Ovis aries: one gene and its partners. The protein of the gene in region 3 purifies or fractionates together with the protein of the main gene of each other region. This does not show direct contact. Links are inferred from orthologs where the notes say so. Each region holds a gene or a part of one and is shown on either strand. Other genes may lie near its edges. The genes, in order: BTRC, TRIM21, ELAVL1 and IGF2BP1.

Region 1 (3,748 bases), on a different chromosome or scaffold from region 3:
GTCGACTGCAGACCAACTGTGTCCCAATAGGAGTCTTAAAGCCCCGCTCCTCAGCTAGTCCGGGGAAAGTGGGTGGTGGTTTGATTGTTACTGTTGTTGCTCATCCTGGTATTGGCAGATATGTTAAATACCGCAACTTTAATGAGTCCTGTGTGGAAACAGAGCACAGAGTCATTAGTCCCTTTTCCTGAATTTCTCACTTTCTCTAAGAGGAAAAGAATATTAAACTAGCTGTCAACTGGGAGAAAGGCTCAGAGGTCCTTCCTAATACCTGCTCTCTGTCCATGCCACACAGGAGTTTCTGTCAAAGGCTACAAGGCCTGTCTGGGGGCTCAGCAGGGCTCACTGACAGGCTCAGGACTCTAAGTGCTCATGCAGAGTGACTCTGATGTTTAGAGACTAACAGTGACTATGGTGGGTGTAGCACTGAGCTTCCACCTGCTTCCTATAATGGTAGAGCAGGTGAGGACAGCTCTGAGGTTCCGGCCTTAGTGGCCATGAATGCAGTATGCCACTAAAAAAAAAGTGGGGGAGAAGGGTGAAGCTCTCTGGCTGCTTGGCTGGAGGGCACTGGTAGTGTAGATGAGGGGAGAGCCTGAGTGTTAGATGTGTGCCCCAGAAGCGCCCCTGGTACCGTCAAGGACAGGTGTGTAGGTAGTGACTGGAAATGTGGCCTAGAGATTAAGGCAGAGGTTGGGACTAAACATACAAATTGGAGATGAGAGCTGAAGCTTTGGGGAGAGATAAGGGAGCCAAAGAAAGGAACTCAGGTAAGGAAGAAAAGCCTGAGACAGACTCTTAGGGGATGTCTAAGTTTCAGGAGTGAGACAAAGGAGGAAATGTAAACAATCAGAGAGCCAAAATGCCACTGAAATCTGAGGAGGATAATATTTTGGCAAAAGGAAGGGATACCTATATGACAATTTCAATATTGCTACTAATTAATGGTTACTTTTTTTATTGAGAATCTGTTATGTGCTAGGCACTGTGCTAAGCACTAAGGTTTCTACGCATAACATTTGATTCTCACAACAGCTCTGCATGGTAGGTATTACAATTCTCAAGGAAACTAAGGCTCGGGGAAGCTGTTTGCCCAAGGGCACATGGCTAGCCTCTGTGCCTTGGCTGAGAAAGCGGCCACATCCTCTGTGAGAGAAGTGAGTACTGAATGAAGCAAGGCTTAAAACACTCTGTTCAGAAGAACCACTGCAGAAAGATATGCAGAAGAGTGTACTGAATGTGTGCTTCTGCCACAAGAACAGAGGCAAGTATAGGAAATGAGAAATCACAATAACGGCAATATTTCCCAGTAGCTAGTACAGTTTTCCCAAACCAGTGATGACCTATATCTGACCTGCTCAGGACCATCAGGTATGATCTGAGGGTCCCAGGGATATAGGTTAAGATGAACATTAGGATCTTCTTCTGCCCCAGAGACAGGACAGAGACTTGAGTGGGAGAATATCGGAATTCTCACCAACTCCAGAGCTACTTCCAAGGTCAAAAAACAGTTGGAGGGGGCAGGGAATGCAGATAAGGGGGATGGAGAAAAGCCACCTTTTATAATCAAATGACACTGACAAGAGCTATGAGAAGGCAGCCTTGTGTGCTATTTTGCCAAGGGATTCTTTTCTTTCCAACATCAGATTATCTACTTGGGTTAAAGGGTCTCCACTGTAGGTACTAGAGTAATCTGGGAATTACAAAGCCATAGGCTTTGGGGTCAATACTCTTAGTTTTGAAACTGATTTAAATCTCATTTTATTTCCTTAACAATGCGACTAGATGACTGAGGCAGGAATATTAGTTCTACTACACTTGGATCATCGAGGTCTAGCTCAAGAATTATCTAAGGACCGAAGCTGGTTACCTCAATCAAGGGCAGCATCCGGTGTGCAGCCCAGCCCTGTCTCGTGGTGTCAGTTTCTGTATTATAGGACTTGGAGTTAGAAAGGGCATGAGAAGGCTCCATGAACTCACAATACCTTACAGCCAGTGTTCCACTGCTTACCCTCAGTGCTATGTACACAATTCTTTTTCATACCTGGGCGAGTCTGAGGTCAGTGTATGAGTATTTATCTGGAGATATAGGTGTATGTTCGAGAAGGGGAGCGGGGGGGCTCAGCTTGGGCAGCTGGATCATTTAGGAAGTCCCAGATGAGGATTGTGTCATCATGTGAACTACTGACAATCTGGAATTCATCAAACTGGAGTCGGAAAACTCTTCCAGAATGCTCCTAAAGAAGCAGAAACAGAACTTTTGAACTATTCAAAATAAAAAAAAAAAAAACACAAATTCAGCAACATGTCAAAAGGAGTCTATAGAAAGGCTAAAGCTGATAGTCTTCTTGACCATTTCAAGAATACAAATAAAAATCTTAATCTGGATTAAAGGCAGGATATAAAAGTCAAATATTGGGTAGCTGATTTCATATATAGTCAAAGTAATATTCACTGGAGCTGACACATGTCAAACAGTACACAAGTTTCTCATTGCTAACTCTCCTAGACTTTAGCCTCAATGAGAACATTCCTCAGTACCTCTCAGGCTTCATCCTCTTCTCTGTATCTCTAGGATTCTATTACAATCATAGGCCAAGGGCTGATGAGCAATAAGCAGTACTGTGTTGGTATGTATTTATCAATTAACTATCCCCAATTTGTAAAAGCATTTCCACATTTTACAGTCTAAAAATTTCTATCCTAGCTAATTTCAAGCTAGCTATCTTGAGTTCAACCAGCTTGCAGAATTCATGAAAATCTAACAACTGGCTCTAAGAAGCAGGTATAAACCTGTTTCACTTAGAATAATGTCAAGTTTCATCTATGTTGTAGCGTATGACAGCATTTCCTTTCTTTTAAGGCTGGATAATATTCTATTCTATTCTCTCTCTCTCTCTCTCTGTGTACATACACACACACACACACACACACACACACACACACACAGAGGAACTGGGCTTCCCTGGTGGCTCAAATGGTAAAGAATCTGCCTGCAATGCAAGAGACCCAGGTTCGACCCCTGGGTTGGGAAGATCCCCTGGAGAAGGGAATGGCTACCCACTCCAGTGTTCCTGCCTGGAAAAGCCCATGGACAAAGGAGCCTGGTGGGCTATATAGTCCATGGGTTCACAAAGAGTTGGACACAGCTGAGCGACTAAGCATACATACTGTTTTCCATGGAGGCTGCACTATTTCACATTCTTTACAAGATGTAAATAAGCTCATGAGATACATGATCATCTGTGTTCATAAGACATATTGGTAGACATATCTGTAGTTTTCTTTGTTTGGTTTCAGGATTAGGGTAATGCCAGCCTCACATAATTAGGTAGGAAATATTCACACTGCTTTTATCTTTTGGAGGAAAGGATAGAGCATTGGTATAATTTCTTCCTTAAACATTTGGTAGAATTCATCAGTGAGCCCATATGGGCTTGGTGCTTTCTGTTTTGGACAGTTATTATTTATTCTATTTCTTTAATAAGGCTAGGTCTATCCAGAATGATTATTTCTTCCTAAGTTGTGGAATATTGTATTTTTCAAGGGATTGGTCCATTTCATCTGGATTATCAGTTTGGAAGGCACAGAATTGTTCATAGCATTCCTTTATTATAATCCTTTTAATGTCTATGGGATCTGTAGTGATACAAAGTTTAATATTCAAAACTCAATATATTCAAAAACATAACAATTAACAGAATACAGGTGAAAACCACACTGACCAACTTGACAGACGCACATAAGA
Region 2 (4,267 bases), on a different chromosome or scaffold from region 3:
ACTGGCTTTCCTGTCCTAGGCCTTTGAAAGTGAAAGCGTTAGTTGCTCAGTCATGTCCGACTCTGTGAATCTATGGGCTGTAGCCCGCCAGGCTCCTTTGTCCATGGGATTCTCCAGGCAAGAATACTGGAGTGGGTAGCCATTCCCTTCTTCAGGGGATCTTCCCAATCCAGGGACTGAACCCAGGTCTCCAATACTGCAGGCAGATTCTTTACCATCTGAGCCACTAGGGAAGCCCATCTTAGGCCTTTATGGTTCACTTAAATCTGGTTCTCATAGTCACTGTCATTTCTTGACAACTTGTCATTTCTTGACATTGGGCATCTCTCCTGGCATTCCCCTGTCCCAAACTCTGAGGCCATCTCCAGAGACTGGGCTGTCATCTCCAGAGACTGGGCTCAAGAAGCAGGAGCATTAGAATATATCTTGTCCCTCAGCACCTTTTCCTAAGACTCTCTCTCCATCTGACTGGGAGCTCTTTTTGATCTCCACACTCTTTTAATCCCCTCCATCAAGAGACCTATGGGGCAGCTGGTTCTTGGGGAGTGAGATATAGGGACTGGCATAGCTGGACCCTCCCCAGGCTTCAGATCTAAGATTCCCTTCAGGATATGACTCTTGCCTTAAAGGATGCTTTCTTCATTGCAATGTCCAATTCCAGCTTCTCAGCCATCTCCTGCTTATCTCTTAGTTTCTTTAGTGCCACCTGAAGCTTTTCCTGCAGAGAACGAAAGCAAGATGATACCCAGTCAGGTCAAGAAGTAGGGTGCAGTGGTGTGAAGTGGGGGGAAGATCATACTGGTTCTTAGAAGAGGCTGAGTGCAGAGGACAAGGAAGGACTAGAGTCTGTTTGGGGTAGGAACTCTGTGGATGGGAAGGTTTTGGAAAAAGCCTGATATTTCTTACAAAATAGGGCCACACGGTTGGTGTACAAAGGGTGGGGGCACTGCTTGTTCCTAATTAAGCAGGAGGCCACAAGGGAAGAAGATTCTTGAAGCATTTTCCCATAGCACATCCCTGCTCTGTGAGAATGAGAAAACTGTGCTGAGCTTGCCATTTCCCCCTTAAATAAGACATAGAAGGCAGGAGACCCCTATTCTTTCCCCAGCCCCACAGGTAACTCTCTCCCATTTCCAGCTCTGGGGAACAAAGCCATCAACAGGGCCCCATCTCCTTTTTACCTGTTCCTGCCTCTGTGCTGAGGACTCACCTGGTACTCCTGAGCAGCCTCCTCAATAGGGACCATGGGATGATCACGGTGTTTCTGGGACTGGGAACACACCCAGCAAAGGGCCTTCCCATCTGCCTCACAGAAGAGGTGAATTTTCTCTCTGTGCACCACACACAGCTCCCCGTGTGGGCCCTCCTTGGCACCCTGGCTGATTTTCCTAAGGTTGTCCACCATGTTGGCTACCTGTCGATTGGGCCGGAGATTCTGGAGCAGGAAGTGGCGCCGGCACACAGGACAGACGCTACCTCCTTCTTTCCCGACCTCAGAGATGCACTCCTGGCAGAAGCTATGACCACATTCAATGCTCATAGGCTCCACCATGGGATCCAGGCAGATAGAGCACGTGACCTCCTCCCACATCATTGTCAAGGGTACGGCTGAAGCCATTGGGGTGATGCTCCTCTTCGGTAGTGCTGGGGAGATCTTGCGGTGAGGGGAGAAGAGGAAAGGGACGGAAGAGAAGAGCCAGGTAAGAAAAGGGAACCACGAGAGAGGGTGAACTGGAGGGAGTGAAAACAAGAAAAGACAAGGACCTCAACCTGAATAGTGCTCCTCTTCCATAGTCTGGGTCACTGATCCAGTCAGACAGAAGGGGACACTGAGTCCCCAAGAGATAGCAAATATTGTTGAGAACCTGAGAGACAGCTGCTTACAATTCGACTTTCATCATGTTCATCTCTGCTTAACCGCTCAGAGTCCAGGCTTTACCTATTGATCTTCTGCCTCAGGCCACTGGTTTTCTACTCTGTTGAGAAGCTAATCTTAACAGTAGCGACCATTGACTGTGCTCGTTCCATGTGCCAGGTGCTACATGCTTCACATACATTCTCATTAATCTTTGCAATAGGCAGGAGTTATTGGTATCTATCTAATCATCGGTAACATGAATATATATAAGAATATTTATATTTATGCTTACATATTTTCATAAGGATACACGTATATCCGTAAGTACATGGGCTTCCTAGGTGGTGCAAGTGGCAAAGAATCCACCTGCTAATGCAGGAGACACAGGAGACAGCAGGTTTGATCCCTGAGTTGGGAAGATCCCCTGGGGAAGGAAATGGCAACCCACTTCAGTATCTTACCTGGGAAATCCCGTGGACAGAGGAGCCTGGCGGCCTACATACAGTCCATGGGGTCGCAAAGAGTCAGACACGACTGAGCACACACACACACGCATATGTATATGTGTGTATATATGTATGTGCATACACACAGAAGCGTGAGGTTTATTAAGAACTTCCTGGGCTCTTCTCTCAGCTACCCTGAACCTGGCCCCGCCTTTGTTTCTTCTAGGGCGCAGACCCATAGTTTTCTAATATCCTAAGCAACCCTGTCTCTCTCACCTCCAGAGGGAGCCTTTTGGGGACAGCAGTCTCAGGGATCGCGGACCTACCCCCACACCGGGCTCCCGGACCACCCCTGAGCTAGGTTGCCATCCTGGTTCTCCCAGTTTCCCTGGTTTTTCTTCCCAGCTCAGGTGCCGGCGGAAGCAGAGCAATCCGAGCTCCTTCCAGGGGACATCCCAGTCAGGTTTACAGCCCAGCCTCCTCCCAGGCTGCAGGGGAAAAACTGCTGGGTTAAGGTTGAGGGAGACCTGTTGCGAAAGAAAACCTGAGATCGAAATCTCTAGGGGTGGGGACGGCTTGGATGAGGCACTTCAGACCTGGGGCAGGGGAGAGAGGTCCCCTAGGGAGAGCTGGGGTACCTCGGTCTAGCCAAGTTCACTCACCTTTTCAAGAGACGCAGTGGATGGCAGCCGTTTCCTTATTTCACTTTCGATTCCTTGTCCACCGCAAATCTGAAAGGGAGGCGGGCAGAGCGGGAGGAGAGTGGGCGGGGCCAAGGGAGGAGGAAGGCGGAGGGGTTGAGGTGCCGCCAGAGTCTGGAGCTTCTGGGAGGCTGGGGCGAGCGAAAGCTCCGCAGCCTTTAGTCCTTGCTTTGCGTTCCCTCCCGTGTCCTCATTGTGTAATAGAGTGAAGCATCGTATCTGCTGCGTGGAGGAGCCATGCAGGCCTACGTGCTGTGCCCTCGTGTGGGAGCTGCTTTAAAGGAGGTTTGGATGGACAGGGGTGCCTGGAGGTCTCCTCTAAAGGCCATCTTCTGTTCCCTATTTCCAAAAACAATTCCTTTTCAGGAGACTTGATATTCTTTTAACATCAGGGGGAGAGCAATTTATTCCACAGTACCTCAGCGCATTATCACACCAGTGAGTGGTAAGAAGGGACTTGACATTTATTGAGGCAACAACTGTGTACTTATCCTTGAGCCAGGGACTTTCTCAGGTTGTTTTATTATTATTTTAAATTATGGTGAAGTACGTATAACATTTACCATCTTAACCGTTTTCAAGTGTGTAGTTCAGTGGCATTAAATACGTTCACAGTTGTATACTTCACCACAGTCCATGGAGTCTCAAAGGGTCGGACACAACTGAGCCACTAAGCACAAGAACGGAGAAGGCAAGGGCACCCCACTCCAGGACTCTTGCCTGGAAAATACGAGGGACAGAGGAATCTGGAAGGCTGCAGTCCATGGGGTCGCTGAGGGTCGGACACGACTGAGCGACTTCTTTCACTTTTCACTTTCATGCATCAGAGAAGGAAATGGCAACCCACTCCAGTGTTCTTGCCAGGAGAATCCCAGGGGCAGCTTGATGGGCTGCTGTCTATGGGGTCGCACAGAGTCGGACACGAGTGAAGCGACTTAGCAGCAGCAGCAGCAGCAGCAAGCACAAGAAACCTCAAAGAGCCAGGGAGTAGTGGCAAATTCCTATTTATAAGAATCAGAGTTTTTACTCTGGTGGAAGAACTTCTTTCTTTACTAGACCCTTAGAACAAGGCTGAGCCCTGTGTTGGGGGATGGAAAGAAAATGATCTGTAAATGAGTTACTAGTTTGAGGGAAATAGGAGCTGCAACCACCTCCCTTCTTTATTCTCTGAAGAGTGTGTTTATAATGGCTATAAAAAATACCATCACCTATTAGTTGTTGATCTTAGATGTGCACCAGAATTTATGGTACAACATTCTTAT
Region 3 (4,353 bases):
ACAACCTCAAATGAGTGCTGCTTCCAGAAGAGCGGTCTTGAGCTGACTTTCCTCCGAAGCCATCTCTGTGCCCTGCTGGTGTTGCTGAAAGTCAGGATTTCTGTAGGCAGCTTAAGGTTTTCCAGAGCCTACCAGCTTTGGAGACAAAGGTCCCCTAACTGGCAGAGAACTCGTAACCTCTTTCCTAGCTCAGTCACTCTGTCTTGGGAGGAAAGCAGTGCAGAGGCCCTCTGCCTGCTGGCTGGAGGACAGACAAGGTGTCTGGGTGGGCTGCCCCGGCGCTCGTCGCAGCCTCCTCCGTGTGCCGCTGCACCAGTGGTGCACATGGAGACTGGACAAAGCAATCAGGATCCTTAGAGTGTTCTCAGGACACCCCAGACACTTCCCAGAGGCTCCAGTCATGGTACTGGAACTGTTTGTGGGCTTGCTTCTTTAAAGCCCTCTTATTAAGTGCAAATGGTTAAACTTGGACTAGTTCTGGTTTTGTTTCAGTAGACTTTATTTTTAGAGCAGTTTTAGGTTCACAGAAAGATTGTGAAGAGAGTCCAGAGTAAATTTCCCTATACCCTTCCGCAGGCACAGTTTCCCTCCTCTATTACTAAATCTTGCCTTAGTGTGGTATTTTGTTGTAATAGATGAACCCATGTTGTTACCTAACTAAAGCCCAGGGTTTGCCTTAGAGTTCACTCTTAAAAAACTTCTGGATTTGTTTCTTTTTGGTTGTGCTGCATGTGGACTTTCTCTAGCTGCAGTGAACAGGGGCTACTCTTCATTGCAGTGCATGGGCTTCTCATTGCAGTGGCTCCTCTTGTTGCAGAGAACAGGCTCTAGGCCCACGGGCTCCAGTGGTTGCAGCTCCTGGGCTCTAGAGCACGGGCTCAGTAGTTGTGGTGCACAGGCTTAGCTGCTCCACAGCGTGTGGGGTCTTCCTGGACTAGGGACCAAACCCATGTCCCCTGCATTGGCAGGCAGATTCTTATCCACAGTGCCACCGGAGAAGCCCTAGACTTTACTCTTCACTTTTATACCCTCATACAGAGGAGCGGCGCTACCCTAAAAACCCCGGTGCCCTACCTGTTCGTTCCCCTTTCCCCGAAACTCCTGATCTTGCAATCTCTCTAGTTTTGCCTTTTCCACAATGTCACATACTGGAGACCCTCTATTTTCAGCAGTGTGCATGTAAGGCTCCTCTGTGTCTTTGTGGCTTCCTGGCTCCTGTCTTGTTGGCACTGAAGAACCTTCCATTGTGTGTGTGTTACCAGATGACTGGTATGTGTTTCTCCATTCGCCCACTGAAGGGCATCTTGGCTGCCTCCAGTCTGGGGGTGGTTACGAATAAAGCTGCTATAAACATCCACGTGCGGGTTTCTGCGTGGACATAAGTTGAACTCATAGCATTGAAAAGAAAAATGTCTTAAGTACAAACATAGTCATGAGCGTTGCTTTGATATCCTGCAGTGGGAACGTTTGGAATTTACTTCATTTTTTCTTCCCCTGCAGATTTTTTTTTTTTTAATACAATGTCTAATGGTTATGAAGACCACATGGCCGAAGACTGCAGGGACGACATCGGGAGAACAAATCTGATTGTCAACTACCTCCCTCAGAACATGACCCAGGATGAGCTACGAAGTCTGTTCAGCAGTATTGGTGAAGTGGAATCTGCAAAACTTATTCGGGATAAAGTGGCAGGTAAAGAAACAGAGCCATTTTTGTATGTGTTGGGCGTGGGGGATGGTATGTGGGGCCATCCCACCACGCCCTGTTTCTTAGCCAGGAAGTTTCATTTTTATCTCAACTCTGTTTTGCTCCCGTCCTGGTGTAAGATTGGCTGTAGGTTCCCAAAGGAGGAAAAATCCATCCTGAGATGGAGAATATGTACAAAACAAGACAGTGGGAGGGGAGGGAAGATGAGGAGACAGGAAGGAGAAATGGGGATGCTGTGAGAGCTGGAACAGGCACGGTCCCAGCTGTAGAGGGACCCTAGCCAGTGTCCTGCCAGGGGCAGGCCCAGCGTGTCTTCTCAGGCGGTGCATGCCAGGTCACACCTGCGGCAGAGTGCTGAGTCAGTCCCCTGTGGGCAGCCCTTCGCTGGCTTTGGGCCACCCTGACTCTGTTCTCATGCTATCAACTTGAACATCTGAAACTGAGCTTGAACTCTCACGGGGGCTGGAGCAGGGGAGCAGAGGATCATGGGTGGGCCGTGGATTTGGCAGGCAGGCAGGCGCAAAGCTCCACCCTCCTACAGCGCCTCAGTGTCCCCATCCACGAAGTGGAGGTGGTGGCTCCTGCCTTCCTCATGATGCTGTCTACCGCCTAAGGGTTTGCAGAAGGCCAGTACCTGGTAAGGCCCTCTGTAAGGAGGCCTCTGTTCTGCGAGCGAGGTTGCAAGGGTTCTAGAGAGAAATGTGAAGAGACATGGGGCTGTGAAGCACTTCCTTTCTTTCCTCCCCAGGGAGGTACATCTTAGGGAGCCCTCCTTTACCTCCCACTCCCCCTCCTCCTTCCTCCTCCTCCTCGTCTCTGCCCAGCTCTTCTGACGAATGGCCAGTCCTCTCGGCAGTGCTCTGGCTCCCACCCTGGCTTGTAAGATCTTGATTCCCTACACTGAAAAATAATTTCAAAGTCAAAAGTCATATTTATTATGGAAATATATTGGGTTGGCCAAAGAGTTCGTTCGGGCTTCTCTATAGCATCTTATGGAAAAACCCGAACTTTTTGGCCAACTCAAGATTTAAGTTTACATTAGAGTAATTCTGTTGAACCCCATGTACCCATTGTCCTGTTTCATCAACTCACAGCATTTGCCAGTGACTCTAAGATGCCTGTCCCCAAGGTGAGTCCCGCTGACCCCAGGGCTTTGTTTTGTTTTTATTTGATTGTTTATTTGGCTGCACTGGGTCTTAGTTGCAGCATGTGAGATCTCAGTTCCCTGACCAGGGGTTGAATCCGGGCCCCTTGCACTGGGAGCTCGGAGTCTCAGCCACTGGATCAGCAGGGAAGTCCCAGAGAGAGGACTTTGAGCTCAAAGTCCTTTAATGACCCTCTCAATTCTGAGAGTGTGCAATTTATTACATGTCTTCAAAATAGGGGCTTTAGATATACACAAAATTGAACAGTGTTGGAATGTTCTAGAAATTCCTCTCTCTCTCCAGTTCCAGAAGACCATCCTTAATAAGAATCCTTGTTCAGAGAGGTTTTTAAATTCTTCTGCGCTGCTGCTGAGTCTTGCCTTTCTCCTGTTGTGTTCTGGCAGAAGGAAATTTTCAGTCCCTGCAATATTCCTGATTCCTCTATCTCTTGGCTTGTTGTGTTTTTCAAAGGCATTAGAGCTATGTTGGAGAAGGCAATGGCACCCAACTCCGGTACTCTTGCCTGGAGAATCCCATGGACAGTGGAGCCTGATGGGCTGCTGTCCATGGGGTCGCTAAGAGTCGGATACGACTGAGCGACTTTACTTTCACTTTTCACTGTCATGCATTGGAGAAGGAAATGGCAACCCACTCCAGTGTTCTTGCCTGGAGAATCCCAGGGACCGCGGAGCCTGGTGGGCTGCCGTCTATGGGGTCGCACAGAGTCAGACGCGACTGAAGCGACTTCACAACAGCGGTAGAGCTATGTTAATAGGAACACCTGGATTTGGCGACATGAGTCTGGAGAGAACTGGTTTTAAGAACCAGTGAAATCAGCACAGGCATGATTTGAAAATTATTTCAGTTCAGAAGTAAAGATCTTCTGCTCTCTGGGCAAGTTTGAATGTAATGCGTTGGGAGTCGTAGAGTAGATGAGCCTGGGTTGACATTTCAGCTCTGCATCTCACATCTTGTAGTTCTTTATTTAAAAAAAAAAAACAACCATATATATATACACACACACACACACACACACACACACACACACACACACATTTATTTATTCATTATTTGGTTGCTCCAGATCTCAGTTGCAGCATGTGGGATCTAGTTCCCTGATCAGGGATCGAACCTGGGCTCACTGCATTAGGAGCACAGAGTCTTAGCCCCTGGACCAGGGAAGTCCCTGCTGCTGCTAATGTTCAGTCGCTCAGTCATGTCGACTCTGCGACCCCATGGACTGTATCCGCCAGGCTCCTCTGACCATGGGATTCTTCAGGCAAGAATATTCGAGTGGGTTGCCATTTCCTTCTTCAGGGGATCTTACCGACCCAGGGACTGAATCTGAGTCTCCTGCATTGGCAGGCAGATTCTTTACTGCTGAGCCACCTGGGAAACTGCAGTCCTTGATAGTAGTTCTTTAAATTGAATGAACTTAATTTTATGGAAAACTTACCTCATTCACTTTTCTTCTCTTGCCACCAGTGTTTGATAATTTCTT
Region 4 (3,748 bases), on a different chromosome or scaffold from region 3:
ATTCATACAATAATTCACATAGCTAGCTCTGTATTCCTAGAGGCTGAAACCCGGTGGGTGGTAACGGATGGTTACTGAGTAAGATATAACTAGTGAGGAACCTAAGAGAGATGAACAAAGCAGGTATGACTGGGGGGAATTAGTTATCCTAGCGCTTAGGGCACCTGGTTTTGGCTTTCCTAGCTGTGGGCGAACTGTATTTCGCTCTCTAAAGAGGCCAGGTTTCCATTCCCAAAGGTTATCATTCTTAGACTCTTAAGGCTTTGGTGTTGAATAGAAGGTAGGAAGATAGACTGGAACGAGGACTAAAACCTACAAGGTCACAGGCCCCTAAAGTATCCAGAGCTGTCACTGATGTTTTCTCTCTGATTTCAGGAGTCGAAAAATACAGATCCGAAATATTCCACCCCAGCTTCGATGGGAAGTAAGTGATTAGGGGAAACTGTTAGTGGGGTCGTGGAGACTGGGAGGGAAGTCTTGGTTAGCCTGAGGTGGCAGAGATGACTGGGAGGTGTCCTGGGGGCTTGGTTCTAGGCCAGAGGTTCTGAGGGAGGGGGTGGCGGGGTGGACAGTTGGATTGCATCCTCAGCCTAAGACTTCCAGCATGAGTTCTTGGGCATTCCCTCTGGTGAGAGGCATCAGGGAGGTGGGAGGGGTATTCCTGAACCCCAAGCTTAGAGATGACAGAGGACCGGCTGGAGACCCAGGTGCTGCAGGTCTGCTTCCCCAAAGGACCTTAAGTTCCTTTTTGAGCTCAAGTACATTCTGTGAAGAAATTCTGATGGATTACCACCAGCATTAGTACCTGAGAAAGGGCAAACCAAGCAGGTAACATGTTCAGTCCCCACCAAAGGCTTTCCCAGTGCCTTGGGGTGAGGGGTGTGCGCAGTGATGACTTGGTGAGTTCCTGGGGTACTCAGGTTAGCCGTACTCCCTTCCCCTGCTCTCAGGTACTGGACAGCTTGCTGGCTCAGTATGGTACAGTGGAGAACTGCGAGCAAGGTAAGAGTGGATAGAGGCGGCGGTAGTGGGGTAGGGGTAGATGGCTGTTGGAGGAGTTGTGGGGGGCGGATGGGCGGAAATCTGCTCTGCTTCCTTTTCTGGTGCCACATCTCTCTGGAACACCAAACAAAGACAGCCAGAGGGTACCGTGGAGGGAGGTAGAGTGGAGTGTCCCAGCGCTGGCTCTGCTACTTCTCTGGAACTGGCTTCTCCTCTGATTAATAAGAGAATCAACAAAACCACTCATTCCCAGCATGGAGTCTGCATGAGCCAGCCAAGGTAGAAACAGGTTCCCAAGATTTTAGAAATAGGTTAAGAATGCAAGCTGTGCGCAAAGTAAATCTGTAGCCCTTTTATTTTAAAAGCTTCGTGACTCTTGGTTTTTGTCTGAAATAATCAACAGGTTGTCTTTTTTGGGTGGGGGTGGGCGGAGGGGATAGAAACTGATTGTCAGCTACATGTCTTTGGTTAATTAAAAAAAAAAAAGCAGAAAACTTTTGCACATATTGATGGGCAGGCAAAATGTTTCTCAAGTCTGGGCCCATGGGAACTTCCCTGCTGGTCTAGTGGCTAAGACTCCATCTCCCAATGCAGGGGGCTTGGGTTTGATCCCTAGTCAGGGAACTAGATCCCACATACCACAGCTAAGACCTGGCGCAGCCAAGAAAAAACAGTAGGCCCACAGTTCAGTTCAGTCACTCAGTCATGTCCGACTCTTTGCAACCTCATGAACTGCAGTACGCCAGGCTTCCCTGTCCATCACCAACTCCTGGAGTTTATCCAGACTCATGTCCATTGAGTTGGTGATGCCATCCAACCATCTCATCCTCTGTCATCCCCTCCTCCTCCTGCCTTCAATTTTTCCCAACATCAAGGTCTTTTCAAATGAGTCAGCTCTTTGCAGCAGGTGGCCAAAATATTGGAGTTTCAGCTTCAATATCAGTCCTTCCAATGAACACCCAGGACTGATTACCTTTAGGATAGACTGGTTGGATCTCCTTGCAGAAGGAGAAATAATAGAAGGGAATTCTAGATCATAAAACGTTTGCTATGATTTTTGAAGTTTCTCCAAAAACTTAAGTTCTTCTCAAATTGCTTAGGATTATATATTATTTTCAGAGGATATGAGCTAAAATAAAATTTGGAGGACTTCCCTGGTGGTCCAGTGGTTAGAAGTCTACCTGCCAATGCAGGGAATGTGGGTTTCATCTGGTCTGGGAAGAGGGAAGATTCCACATGCCATGGGGCATGGTACAACAAAGCTCCGGGTGCCACAACTCCTGAAGCTGGCTGTCTAGAGCCCTTGAGCTGCAGCTGCTGAAGCCCTTGCGCCTCTGGCCCACGCTCTGCAGCAAGAGGAGCCAGAGCAATGAGAAGCCCGCCTACTGTAATGGAGAGTAGTCCCTGCTCGATGCAACTAGAAAAAAGCCCATGTGCAGCAGTGAAGACCCAGCTCAGCCAAAAGCGAATGAGTGAATGAATGAAAATTTGAAGTGATTTGGCCTGGACATAAAGTAGAGCTTGGTCGTTAGGCAGACAAAATGGTTTGAGTTTGCAGATCTTTAAGAAACCTAGACAAGACAAAATATTCATCTCCAAATTCTAAAGGGCCAAGCTGTAAATCACATACTCGCCTGCACAAAGATCTGAGGTGCTGAATCAGTGGAACAGGTTCTCTTCTGCTCTGACCCTGGAGCTTGCTTTTACTGTAAGCACCAGGGCATAACTGGAAGCACTGATAGCCATTGCTCAGTCCTTGATATCCATTGTCCAGGCCTGCTTACATGTTAGACTGATGACTCAGTTACTCCTGGACAGACAGCAGTGGCTTGGGAGCACGTTGGAGAGCTTCACGAGGGGTGCCCGGCAGGGGTCACTGCTAGTTCAAAGGCTCACCAGAGAACCATAACACACCTAATCTGGGGGCGATGCCTGCTCCCTGGAAAAAACAGAATGGGAAGTGTTTGCTTTTGTAACAATAAACTCTTCATCTGCTCAAATGCAGCTTACTAAGCAATGCCCTTTCTGTCCACCCTATGTGAAATTATACCCCTAACCACCACTTCCTTTTCCCTGGTTTGTATTTCTCCATAGCACTCAACCCCTTCTACTTTTTTTCAGGGAGAACATGAATTTATTATTTTTTTTAATTGAAGTATTGTTGATTATAATATATTAGTTTCAATTACACACCATAGTGATTCAGCATTTTTTAAGATTCTACTCCATTGAATGTCATTACAAGATAATGTCTATAACTCCCTGTGCTGTGCAATATATTTTTGTCCTTTGACTGTTTCGTTTACTTATTTATTTATTGGCTTGTGGGATCTTAGTTCCCTGACCAGAGATCCAACCTTGGCAGTGAAAGCGCTGGGTCCCAGCCTCAGGATTGCCAGAGAGTTCCTATCATTTTACTTTATACATAGTAGTTTGTATCTGTCAGTCCATACCCCCATACCCTTGATGCCCCCCTCCTTTTTAGTAATCACTAGTTTCTCTTCTGTATCTGTGTTTCTGTTTTGCACGTATATTCATCTGTATTTTTTAGATTTCTCATGGGTGATATCACACAGTATTTGTCTGTCTTTGACATTTCACTAAGCGTAATATGCTCTTGGTCCATCCACATCTCTGAAAATGGCAAGATTTAATACTTTTTTTATGGTTGAGTAATAGTCCATTATCATACCATCTTTTCACCATCTTTGCTTATTATATTTTTTGCTTTCTCTTCTTACTAGTA

What was found.
Region 1: the proteins of ELAVL1 (region 3) and BTRC purify together in Homo sapiens (affinity purification with western blotting; 4 studies listed by BioGRID, with this or other methods). This does not show direct contact. The link is inferred for Ovis aries from reciprocal best matches to the Homo sapiens genes ELAVL1 and BTRC.
Region 2: the proteins of ELAVL1 (region 3) and TRIM21 purify together in Homo sapiens (affinity purification with western blotting; 3 studies listed by BioGRID, with this or other methods). This does not show direct contact. The link is inferred for Ovis aries from reciprocal best matches to the Homo sapiens genes ELAVL1 and TRIM21.
Region 4: the proteins of ELAVL1 (region 3) and IGF2BP1 purify together in Homo sapiens (co-immunoprecipitation; 3 studies listed by BioGRID and IntAct, with this or other methods). This does not show direct contact. The link is inferred for Ovis aries from reciprocal best matches to the Homo sapiens genes ELAVL1 and IGF2BP1.

Annotation. Positions count from the first base shown.
Region 1 is NC_056075.1:22,074,526-22,078,273, reverse strand, and holds part of BTRC (F-box/WD repeat-containing protein 1A), read right to left. Parts: intron 2,238-3,748; coding exon 2,076-2,237; 3' UTR 2,045-2,075; intron 149-2,044; 3' UTR 1-148. UniProt on the Homo sapiens protein: Substrate recognition component of a SCF (SKP1-CUL1-F-box protein) E3 ubiquitin-protein ligase complex which mediates the ubiquitination and subsequent proteasomal degradation of target proteins. Recognizes and binds to phosphorylated target proteins.
Region 2 is NC_056068.1:49,571,369-49,575,635, reverse strand, and holds the start of TRIM21 (E3 ubiquitin-protein ligase TRIM21), read right to left. Parts: upstream 3,023-4,267; 5' UTR 2,320-3,022; intron 2,283-2,319; exon of another isoform or gene 2,151-2,282; intron 1,655-2,150; 5' UTR 1,619-1,654; coding exon 1,211-1,618; intron 719-1,210; coding exon 623-718; intron 1-622. UniProt on the Homo sapiens protein: E3 ubiquitin-protein ligase whose activity is dependent on E2 enzymes, UBE2D1, UBE2D2, UBE2E1 and UBE2E2.
Region 3 is NC_056058.1:14,469,954-14,474,306, reverse strand, and holds the start of ELAVL1 (ELAV-like protein 1), read left to right. Parts: upstream 1-1,520; coding exon 1,521-1,692; intron 1,693-4,353. UniProt on the Homo sapiens protein: RNA-binding protein that binds to the 3'-UTR region of mRNAs and increases their stability.
Region 4 is NC_056064.1:37,261,644-37,265,391, reverse strand, and holds part of IGF2BP1 (insulin-like growth factor 2 mRNA-binding protein 1), read left to right. Parts: intron 1-375; coding exon 376-424; intron 425-950; coding exon 951-1,002; intron 1,003-3,748. UniProt on the Homo sapiens protein: RNA-binding factor that recruits target transcripts to cytoplasmic protein-RNA complexes (mRNPs). This transcript 'caging' into mRNPs allows mRNA transport and transient storage.